3 linked regions of the Daphnia pulex genome follow. Each later gene encodes a partner of the first gene's protein in a complex. Links are inferred from orthologs where the notes say so. Each region holds a gene or a part of one and is shown in the gene's direction. Other genes may lie near its edges.

What was found.
Region 2: small nuclear ribonucleoprotein Sm D1-like (region 1) and armadillo repeat-containing protein 7-like share a complex: the UniProt entries of both Homo sapiens proteins name them as parts of the minor spliceosome. The link is inferred for Daphnia pulex from reciprocal best matches to the Homo sapiens genes SNRPD1 and ARMC7.
Region 3: small nuclear ribonucleoprotein Sm D1-like (region 1) and E3 ubiquitin-protein ligase RNF113A-like share a complex: the UniProt entries of both Homo sapiens proteins name them as parts of the minor spliceosome. The link is inferred for Daphnia pulex from reciprocal best matches to the Homo sapiens genes SNRPD1 and RNF113A.

The regions. Positions count from the first base shown.
Region 1 is NC_060020.1:8,496,610-8,499,725, reverse strand, and holds small nuclear ribonucleoprotein Sm D1-like, read left to right. Parts: upstream 1-1,583; 5' UTR 1,584-1,732; coding exon 1,733-1,746; intron 1,747-1,933; coding exon 1,934-2,010; intron 2,011-2,173; coding exon 2,174-2,374; intron 2,375-2,432; coding exon 2,433-2,518; 3' UTR 2,519-2,614; downstream 2,615-3,116. Other genes in the region: GPALPP motifs-containing protein 1-like, read right to left, coding at 196-351, 420-590, 678-1,151. UniProt on the Homo sapiens protein: Plays a role in pre-mRNA splicing as a core component of the spliceosomal U1, U2, U4 and U5 small nuclear ribonucleoproteins (snRNPs), the building blocks of the spliceosome.
Region 2 is NC_060018.1:4,531,668-4,534,732, forward strand, and holds armadillo repeat-containing protein 7-like, read left to right. Parts: upstream 1-1,163; 5' UTR 1,164-1,261; coding exon 1,262-1,370; intron 1,371-1,437; coding exon 1,438-1,743; intron 1,744-1,809; coding exon 1,810-1,928; 3' UTR 1,929-2,420; downstream 2,421-3,065. Other genes in the region: probable G-protein coupled receptor, read right to left, coding at 2,472-2,511, 2,589-3,065. UniProt on the Homo sapiens protein: As a component of the minor spliceosome, involved in the splicing of U12-type introns in pre-mRNAs.
Region 3 is NC_060022.1:4,929,306-4,933,141, reverse strand, and holds E3 ubiquitin-protein ligase RNF113A-like, read left to right. Parts: upstream 1-1,434; 5' UTR 1,435-1,658; coding exon 1,659-1,826; intron 1,827-1,897; coding exon 1,898-2,090; intron 2,091-2,146; coding exon 2,147-2,371; intron 2,372-2,454; coding exon 2,455-2,638; intron 2,639-2,703; coding exon 2,704-3,043; 3' UTR 3,044-3,191; downstream 3,192-3,836. Other genes in the region: protein unc-45 homolog B-like, read right to left, coding at 3,222-3,328, 3,413-3,581, 3,659-3,836. UniProt on the Homo sapiens protein: Required for pre-mRNA splicing as component of the spliceosome. As a component of the minor spliceosome, involved in the splicing of U12-type introns in pre-mRNAs. E3 ubiquitin-protein ligase that catalyzes the transfer of ubiquitin onto target proteins.

The DNA.
Region 1 (3,116 bases):
AGAGGTTGGAAAAGAAAAAGTTTTGTGTGGCCACAATAGCAAATATGTAAGTCGTTCAATAGACAAATATTTATAATTAGAGCTGCAGCTCACCATGATATCAACAAATTTCAACTTATAGTCAAAATTTGGAAAAACGTTATCACCTGAACCATATTTTGAACCAAGGTTTGAAGCTATGAAATTACACTTTATTTAAAGGTACTTTTGATTCCCAATTTTGAACTTTGAATTTAATTCTTGGGACTTCTTAATTAAGGATTTCCGCTTTGCATTATCGAGTTGATTCAGTTTTAAATCTTCATCACGATCAAAAGGTTTTCTTTCTTTAGGACCGGACGAGTTGTCTTTCTATAGAAACAAAAATCTTACTTCAAATTACCCCAACTTTAACAGCAAAAATAAAAATGTAGGATTACCTTGCTTTTCATTTCCTTTTGATGTGTCTTCAACAAACTCTCTGACCTCTTCTTGGATTTATCATGCATGGCCACAATTTTCTCAAGCTTCTTATTCCTTTTTTGTTCCAAGTATTGTTTCCTCATTTCAGCTTCAAAATCCTCATCTTTTTCTTTGGATGTACTAGGCTGCTAAAATTATATTAATTAAATTATAGAAATTAGCAATGACCAGCTAAGAAAATTTCATTATATGTGTATCTATTGTACTATCTGAACCTTGGAAGTTGGTGTTGAAGTCCATTGATCTCTCCCTACAACCTCAGGTTTGTCAGAACGATTAAAGACACGAGGTCCCAGGCCAAAGTTTTTCCTTTTCAGTTCTGGAAGCTCAATCATCCAATCTTCTCTTTTTGGTTGCTTGTTGGCTTCATCATCATCCACACCAAGCAACTTCCTCTTCATCTTAAGAGCCCGCTGTTCAATGTCAACTGATGAACTATGTTCAGCATCCATACAATCAGCTGGCAGTGGTCCAATAACTTCATCATCTGATGAAGAGTCAACTTCATGATTAACAGAGCATCCTCTGTCATTGGAGATATTTGATTGCACTAACTTGCTGGACACTTTCTGTGATTTTAAATGAGCGGGAAGTGCTGGTCCGTAGAGATCACCTTCATCAGAATCTGAATCATCATTTTCATACGCTGTTTGAAGATGAGGAGGTAATGTTGGTCCGATTCGAGACATTTTGAGAGGGAAAAATTAAAACCACGCGGGAAATTGAGAATGCGTTACCGACAAAGAATTATTTTTAAAAAATCGAAAATAGGTGAAACCGAAACCCAATGTTTAGCTTACTGGAAATGCTGTTATAGTATGCAGGCCTGTCTCATGTGTTTTCTGTTTTGGAGTACGTTTTATTGTCACTCATGTCATGCCACTTGTGTTCTATGCGGTTCTATGATACGCTTCGATAATGCTTCTGGATTTATGAATTTATTTTGATAAATAAATTTAAAATAATAAAAAAAAATTATTATTAGTTAATTTTTGATTAAAATATGCAAAAATAAACCTTGTCTAATAACAAAATTCAAAATATTTGCGTAGATGGCGCTACGTTACAAGTACAAAAATCATAGTCATCGACCGTTATGAAATATGAAATGTCACAGGGCCTTTTTAGTATAAGTTATGCTTCCAACAAGCAGTTTTGGTTTTTGACTAGCGTACCTCGTGCGTTTCACTAAACTAAGGATTAAAACATTCAATAAGTCGTATATGGTGATTTACTTTATTACAGCCATCAAACAACAAGTTTATCAAAAATGAAATTAGTGAGGTAAGTTTCGGAATATGTTCATTGTCAAGTAAATTCGTACAGAAAGTAGCCACAAAAATCGGTTTGGTCTGGGTATTAAGCCGGTTGTTGGATGCGTCTGGGAAACTATGCCGTTTCTATATTTCACAACTTAAATAGTTCACTGCTTTCAATTGAAATAAATACCATTATTTTGTATAATCCTTAGGTTTTTGATGAAACTGAGCCACGAAACAGTCATTATTGAATTAAAAAATGGTACTCAGGTTCATGGAACAATAACAGGTAATTCAATTTTGTTGTCTTTATTCGATTTTTTATTTTACTGCAATCCTTAAATACTTTCTTCGAAAACTTAGTGAAATTGCAAACACATAAGTGACATTTTAGAAGAAAAGTTTTCCGTTTTGTATATTACTAAATTCATTCATTTGATTATGTTTTATAGGAGTTGATGTTGCTATGAACACTCATTTAAAAGCTGTGAAAATGACAGTTAAAAACAGAGACCCTGTTCAGCTTGAAACTTTGAGTATTAGAGGAAACAACATCCGGTACTACATTTTACCTGATTCACTTCCTCTTGAAACCTTACTATTGGATGATTCTCCGAAAGCCAAGGCCAAGAAGAAGGATGCTAGCGGTAGAGGTAAACTTTTTTCCCCTTATCACTGTGTTCCTCTTTTCATTTTCTTTTCTTTTTTTAGCTCGTGGAAGAGGCCGTGGACGCGGAGCTGTCAGAGGAGGACGTGGACGAGGACGTGGACGTGGTGCTACTGGTCCTCGACGCTGAAATTTGTAATTTCCAACGATTTTCCATTTTTTTTTTCGTTCTTTTCAGCAAATGTGGAATCAGTTTTCATTTGCATTACAAATTGTCATTGTCTTATATGTTTTTTGGTCAGTTGAAAAGTCCTTAAAACAAACACTTTTTTCCCCACAGTTGAGTCTGTATGAGAATTATTTATCAATTCCAATTGACTCCCATGTAAGCATAGATAATTTGTAGAGAACCGTCAATTCCTTTTCTTGATTTATAAGCGGACATCGCATAACGTTTCCTTGCTTATTTCAAGAATATTGACTATTCTTGCCATTTTGTCAGAGGAGTCGGGGAAAAAACAAGTGTAAAGAGCGGTGTAATAAGTAATGAAAGTTTGATGGAAATGAAAGTTAAATTACTTTTCTATTAAATTTAGACTAAAACTATTCAATTTTTTGTGACTAAACCATTAAACTTTAATTTAAATTAAGAATGTCGCAAATTTAAGGAAAACTTGACATGTTTAAGAACAGTCGTGGCTACAAGTTTTATTTGCTTTTGTAACTTCAGTTTAAGAGGTATTTGCGTTTAAGAGGCTTTCGGCGATATCTGCTCCTAATTTTCTATT
Region 2 (3,065 bases), on another chromosome or scaffold:
ACAACGGAGATATGGGGGGATCACAGTCTACCCCAATATCACTCGCATTCGAGTCATCAATTCGAATACGTTACGGGCATGGCGCCCCTTACCCACAACGTTGGGGAAAATGCCATATAAACTTTGGAGGGACATTAACCCATGAGCAATTTGGTGTAAGGAGCTGATTTCATTGTCAACATATAAATCCTGAGAATAAATTTGAAGAAATTGATGACAAGCAATCCCTTTCAAAGTTTGGCTCATAAATAAATACCTTGAAAACATTATCGAGTTCCATTGAAATGACATCACTATCTAGTGGGAAAAAATCAACAGGCAGTTCATCAATAGAAGTAAGAGTTCCATACACTCCTTTGTCCTAAATGAAGTAATAATTTTGTCAACAATTTCTTCTTCGCTGATTTAAGTAACTTTAACCAACCTTGAGCCGCTGTTCACATACTGCACTTCATCGGGAGATAAAAATTAACTGATATTCCTTACTAGCAGAATGTCCTTGGCTTTCTTCGCTGAAATGTAAATTAACTTATTGTTGACTATTTAAAGTTAAAATATGTAGATTATTCATACCTGTGCAAGTTATCGGCAATACAATCCATCAGCTCAACTTCAGGTCTTGTGATGAACAGTATATTTTTAACAGATATGGAAGGCAAGCACCCAGGTTTTAACTGGAACATTTTTACAACATCTAGTTCCTTAAGAAAACTGTATTCTGCCACCAAACCAATGGGGCCAGTGAGTTGTTCATCCCAAAATATTGCCTAGCATAATTGATGAATTTACGTACATTTCTTAAATGGAATAGCACACACCAATATACCTTTGTTCCACTGAACTTCTCTAAAAGAGGAACAATATCCTGTAACAATAACAAAACTGTTGACGAAATTTATTTTTACTGAACAAGACATCAACAGACTGTCAACAGACAACCTAATGGTTTTTGTGGTTGTCCTAAGTCACAAAAAGCTAATGACTAAATCCGCATAAAATGAAATAAAATTTAGTATTACCAAATGAATCGAAACTTACCTATCCGCTGAGATAAATTACTGTAAGTTTACACAAAAAGTTTGAAGAAAATCGATGCAGTAGTTTAGATTTCTATAAATTTATTCTGATTCTGAATTAAAGGTTCTGGAAGCCTGGCCCAGAACACCGTACACTCCCCCCACATCCCTCCCCCTCCTACACACCCAGACACCCGCATTTACTTTAATGCCTTCTGGTAGTACAAGTACTACCCTCAGGGATAATGTTTACTACTCGTAAACAACTTTATCGAAAATCGGGTAAAAAGGGAGTAGATCGCTTCGAATTCCTTCAAGAGTTGGTTAATGAATTCTATCAATCGAATTCTCTTGGTATGTTTCATCTTTAAAAACAAATTTTAAAAAATTACTACTAAATAATTTGTTTCAATTATTTTAGAAAGCCAAGAACAAGTTTTAGCTAATTTGGCCAATTTTGCGTATGATCCCTTGAACTATGATTATATCAGAGAACTCAAAATAATTGAATTGTTCTTAAACGGACTGCAAAGCAGAAATCCATTCTTTGTTGAATACTGTTTGAAGGGTATTTGTAATTTGTCCAATGATCCCCTGAACCAAGATATAATATTCAAACACAATGGACTCAATCATATTAAAGAATTTGTAAAGTCTGAAAACCCTGATTTAGTGAAACACGGACTTACTACTTTGATTTTTCTACTTTCATCAGCAATTCCATCAGGTAGTAAGATCTAATAAAAGTAACACCATTTTATGATTTTAATTTCTCATCTATGTTTATCAACAGATGTTGCCACTTCCGACTTGATTGCCCAGATTCAACTGTTAAAACATAGTGAAAATCAAAACATAAAGAACTTGGCTACCATTTTCTTAGAAGAGTCATCTGGCATCAGTTCAGGCTAACTTGAAAGGAAATGTTCATCAAGAGAATAAAGTGTATACTCCAGAAGAGCACCAACATGAAGATGAATCTTGCTGAAGGGATAAACAAAAGATTTCTTCAATCATTCATTCAGAAAGGCTCCACAGTAGTAGAACTTAAAAAAGTAACTTATGCAGATGTGGAAAGTTTTTCCAAGTTGACAGGTGACTTAAATTCAGTTCATTTTGGTGGGGAAGCTATAGTTCATGGGGTTTTGCTTAATGGCTTTGTCAGTGCTGTTCTTGGCACCCAGTTACCTGGGCCTGGTTATGTTGTTTATGAACAATCAATGACTTTTCCAAATCCCTGTCGAGTTGGTGATGATGTAGAAATTCTAGTAGAAGTCGTAGAAGCCAGAAAAATTGTTGTCTGTAAATACGTGTGCACAAGTATTAATCAGCAATGTGTTGTTCATCAAGGTACCGCTAAATTATTGAAATTTAAAGGATTAAAATAAAACCTACATCCATGTAGCCTATGCGTTTATTTCTCGGCGCGTCTCTTCAGCTGATCTACGTTTAACTTCAAGCAGGAAGAGGACTGTTAGTCCGTTCCAAGAACTCCCTAGACAGTTTTTCAAAGTGTAATGGGTGAATGTAAATACATAACTAATAAATTATAGGGATTAAATTAAAATTTACCAGAAATTTTCTGCCGCATTAGCTCCATGCTCTTCTCGATTTGCTGATTCTGTTTGCGTATTCTTACAAAACAAAAAATGCTTTGTCATTTGCATTTTGCCTTTGATTTCTATTCGGATGGCACGATTCAAGAGACCGTATAACAGTGGATTAATGCTGATTGATGCATACATAAGCCACGTCACCGTTATAGAGCCATTGTTTGTAACGTACCCAGGAACTGCGTCACACAGAAAATCTTCGTGATGAACAATGGGGATCACGTTCAATACCCAATAGGGCGACCACAGTACAATGTAGGAACCGATTGTAAGCACTAACGTCTTGATTGCTTTATTACGTTTCTTATTAGAGACCATACTTGATTCTGTTTGCGAAACGACAACTGGATTTACAGTCCATATTCTTGGAGTCGTTTCATTAATTGGAGGAAACAGAGAAGGGGTCGGCTGAATTGTTCTTTGCACATTCTGTGCA
Region 3 (3,836 bases), on another chromosome or scaffold:
AAAGGGCAGCAGCCCCATTAGAACGCGCGCGTAACTTGTGTGTGCTGTGTAAAGGATTGATCCTGCTGCCGTGCTGGCCCTTCTCTCAAAAGCCCCTTTTATACGTGTATAGTAGTGTAGCATGTGGATATTATATATCTTGTCTGGATCATTCAGCTTCTGTATAAATAGGCCCTCGCTTTATGCATAACATGTATCTATCATTGAGTCCCTATTTATAGCCTCCTCCCCTCTTTGCATAGAACGAAACGGTATATCTGCAAAACTGTGCTGCAATAAGTCAATGTGCCAATCCTGCTGGAGGAGGAAGTCAAAGTTTGGCTAGATGGGCTTTTCAGTCAGCGACAAGTTTGACCGAAAAATTACTTATACGGTACGGCGAAATAAAAATATTTTTTGTTTTAAATGAATAGGTATAGATATTGTAGTGCAGTATAGGTGTATAAATGGAGTCGGAGGATGGAGATCAAGTAGCTTTTCATCGGACGGTGAAGCGCTTCGTGCACTTTTGCGGCCGGGTTTTCTGGCCTGCGCGTTCCTTATTATTTCAACTTGATGAAAAGTGCTGGGCTAATTAAGGCGCTGTAAGGGAATCATCAAGCGAACGGCCCCCAGCAGCTAGCAGTCTGCTGATGATATAGAAATAATAAGCGCGACATCGGGCAAAGACGAAAGAGGCCCGCGGAGAACAAGCCCCCAAAAACCAGCAAAAAGAAAAAAGTAGACGAACGAAGAGGAGATAACAGTTCAGTGGCCGCCGCCCCACCCAGAAAAAAAAAATTAATAAAAATTGGGTAGGGGAATTAAGAAAATAGAATTATTATTCAGTCATATGTGGCGAAAAGGTTCTTAAAAGCTTCGGCAGTCTTTTCTAATTGATCGCCAGCAGAAGCGTATATAGTGCGTATTATTATTTCGAGGAGAAGAAAGAAGAAGGTCCTCAGACTCTGTGATGCGCCGAGCACATCTATACATATATACACGCCACCAGATTATTAGAGGGGAACCTACTAATTAATGAAAGGATGCTCCTTTTTGTACTGCCTGTGTGTAATCGAGTCGCCAGAGATTTTTAAGTAACGTGATTCTTCCCCCCATCCATTTCATTTGCACAAGGAAAATAAATCACCAAGGCATATGGAAATGATTAGAAGAAGACCATAAGAAATGACGACGATGCCTAATAATAATGATGTAAAGCAATAAGATATGTCGATTTTATTTTTCCAAAACAAATGCAAAATAGCAAAACCCGTAGTAGTAGTAGTAGAAACGGATGACGTTAAGATATATTCAAAGTCTCAAGCGGGTTTTCGGGGTCGGATCATTAATACCGACATCGTAGATGACAAATCTGGATCACAATAATAAAAGCTTTTGTGTGTGTGTGTGTGCATAGTTCTCTATGTACTAGTCTCTGTTGCTGTGCATATATATGTAAATCTGCAGCAGATCCCTTGCTGCGTATTCAATCAGTCATCAAGAACCCAATTAGAGGAATCAGACAACAGTGCACCGGTAATCCTTTTGAAAAGCCGACGACGAGAAGACGGAAGGATTTTTATTTTATTGTTCTCGTTTGTTGACAAGTCAAAATACATTTTTATATACAAAAAAGGAAAGCTTGATCCAACAAGAAAATCCACAAACAAACAAAAATGGCCGACGACAATAAAGTTTGCACGTTTACATTCAAGAAACGAAGAGGAGGAGGAGCCGCCATGAGGAGAAAAGCTGATGATGACAAGAAAAGCAGCAGCGAAGATGAAACTGTTGTTGCTCGAGTGGGGAAAAAGGAATCGGCTGGACTTCTTTCGGCTAAAACTGTGAGTTATTGAAAGTCTCTGCAAAAAGAATTTGTGTTTCTCATCGTGTTTTTTTCTTTTGGGGTTGACAGTTCAAATCCACGAAAAAGTCCCGTCAAGAAATCCAAAACAGCTCTGATGAGGAAGTCAAGGAAAAGGTCACAGTCGTCTTCCAGTCTGACAGAAGTGCTGAGAACAAGAAAGACGATCTTGCCACTTCCACAGTTCAGATCGACACTGCCGTCGATCAAGATGCCAGGACAATTTTTGAGAAATCTTTACAAAGTAGGTCAACTTTTTTATTTAAAATGAACCAAAATAATGTTTTGTTTCTTTGACAGTCCAGCAGGAGCTGAAAGGCAAAGCAGATGACAAGAAATATCGTGGCCTTGCTAACTATGCCCAGTACTACGAGAAAAGAGATACAGCCCAAGGAAATGCTGCATCTGCCAATGTGAGAAAAGGCCCCATGCGAGCCCCAGCCAACATCAGGTCAACAGTGAGATGGGATTACCAACCAGATCTTTGTAAAGATTACAAGGAAACGGGTTTCTGCGGTTTCGGAGGTATTCAAAATCTAACCAAAAGTTTTTGGGGTTATTATCATCATTCAGTTGAACTTTTATAAAGCTTTGCTGTGTTTTATTAGACAGTTGTAAGTTCTTGCACGACCGTTCCGATTATAAATTCGGATGGCAGTTGGAGCGAGAAGAAAGGGGAAAAGGTGAGCCGGCCGAAGACGACTCAAAGTATGAAATACACTCGGACGACGAAGATTTGCCCTTCAAGTGTTTCATCTGTCGCGAGTCGTTCCAACATCCCGTTGTCTCCAAGTAATAAAGACTCTCTCCTATTCATTTATAAGAAGGAGAATTTAACGCAAATTTTGACACGGCAGGTGTAAGCATTATTTCTGCGAGGCCTGCGCCTTGAAACATTACCGCAAATCGCAGCGGTGTTTTGTTTGCGGCAAACAAACTTTTGGTGTCTTTAACCCGGCAAAGAGCCTCATCGAGCGGCTCAAGTTGGAGGAAGAAGGCAAAACTTACAAGGAAGCAGACAGCGACGAGGAGCTCAACAACTTGGAATTGATTATGCAGCCGTCTGGCAGCACTACTGGTAAACCTACGGGAGCAACAGCAGATGTGGAGGAGCCCGTTACGGAGATTGAGCACATTCACTACGCAGACGAAGGAGTCGTGGCCAACGATACGGATTCAGATGATGACAGCGATTGAGGATAAGATCATCTTTATTTTTTCCCCCTACCATTCACGTGTAAGAATACATTATTTTGTAATTCCTTCTTTTTTAAATAATGCTTTCAATTGACGTATAAAGTGTATTTAACTTTAACGAGTGAATTTGCATAGGCACACAATTTAATTTTTGTTTAAATCATTTCATTAAAATTTATCAAGACTCATCTTCAGAGTCGTCCTCCTTCTCGATCAGTTTCCATTGCTCGGCGATTTCCAGGGTTGATTTGGCGCAGTCGCAAATTTTGGCCATTTCAGGTGTTTCTGTGTGCAGAGCGGATTCAAATGGGTTACAAAAAAGATTAGTTCAAGGCACCATGTCAAAAGTTTTAACTTAATCCTCTTTACCGAATTTGGTGAGAACTTCCAGGACCATAATAACCTCAGGTTGCAACAACTTTTCGGCCAACTCTTTCGAATGACTGGCGATGTTTTTGACGATAACAGCTCCTCGATATTGCACGTCTTTGTCCGTATTGCTCAGTAGGAAGCAAAGGATTTCTTTCCACTCTGTCGCCTATTGACAAATTTAACAAGAGAAAAAAAAAGTTAAAATCAATTCCAGGGAAAAAGTTAAAAAGAATGGAGGCAAACCTCGAAAACTTTCCGTGAAGCCCGTTTACTGACTGACGTCAGAATAGCCAAGGCTCCTGCAGCAGCTTTGGACATCTCAACGTCTTCTGAAGTGGAAAGTAAGACTAAATACTTGGTGCGGTCGTTTTTACCCTCAAAGAGTTTGACCACTTCTTCGCTAAACAGCAAATTGCTCATC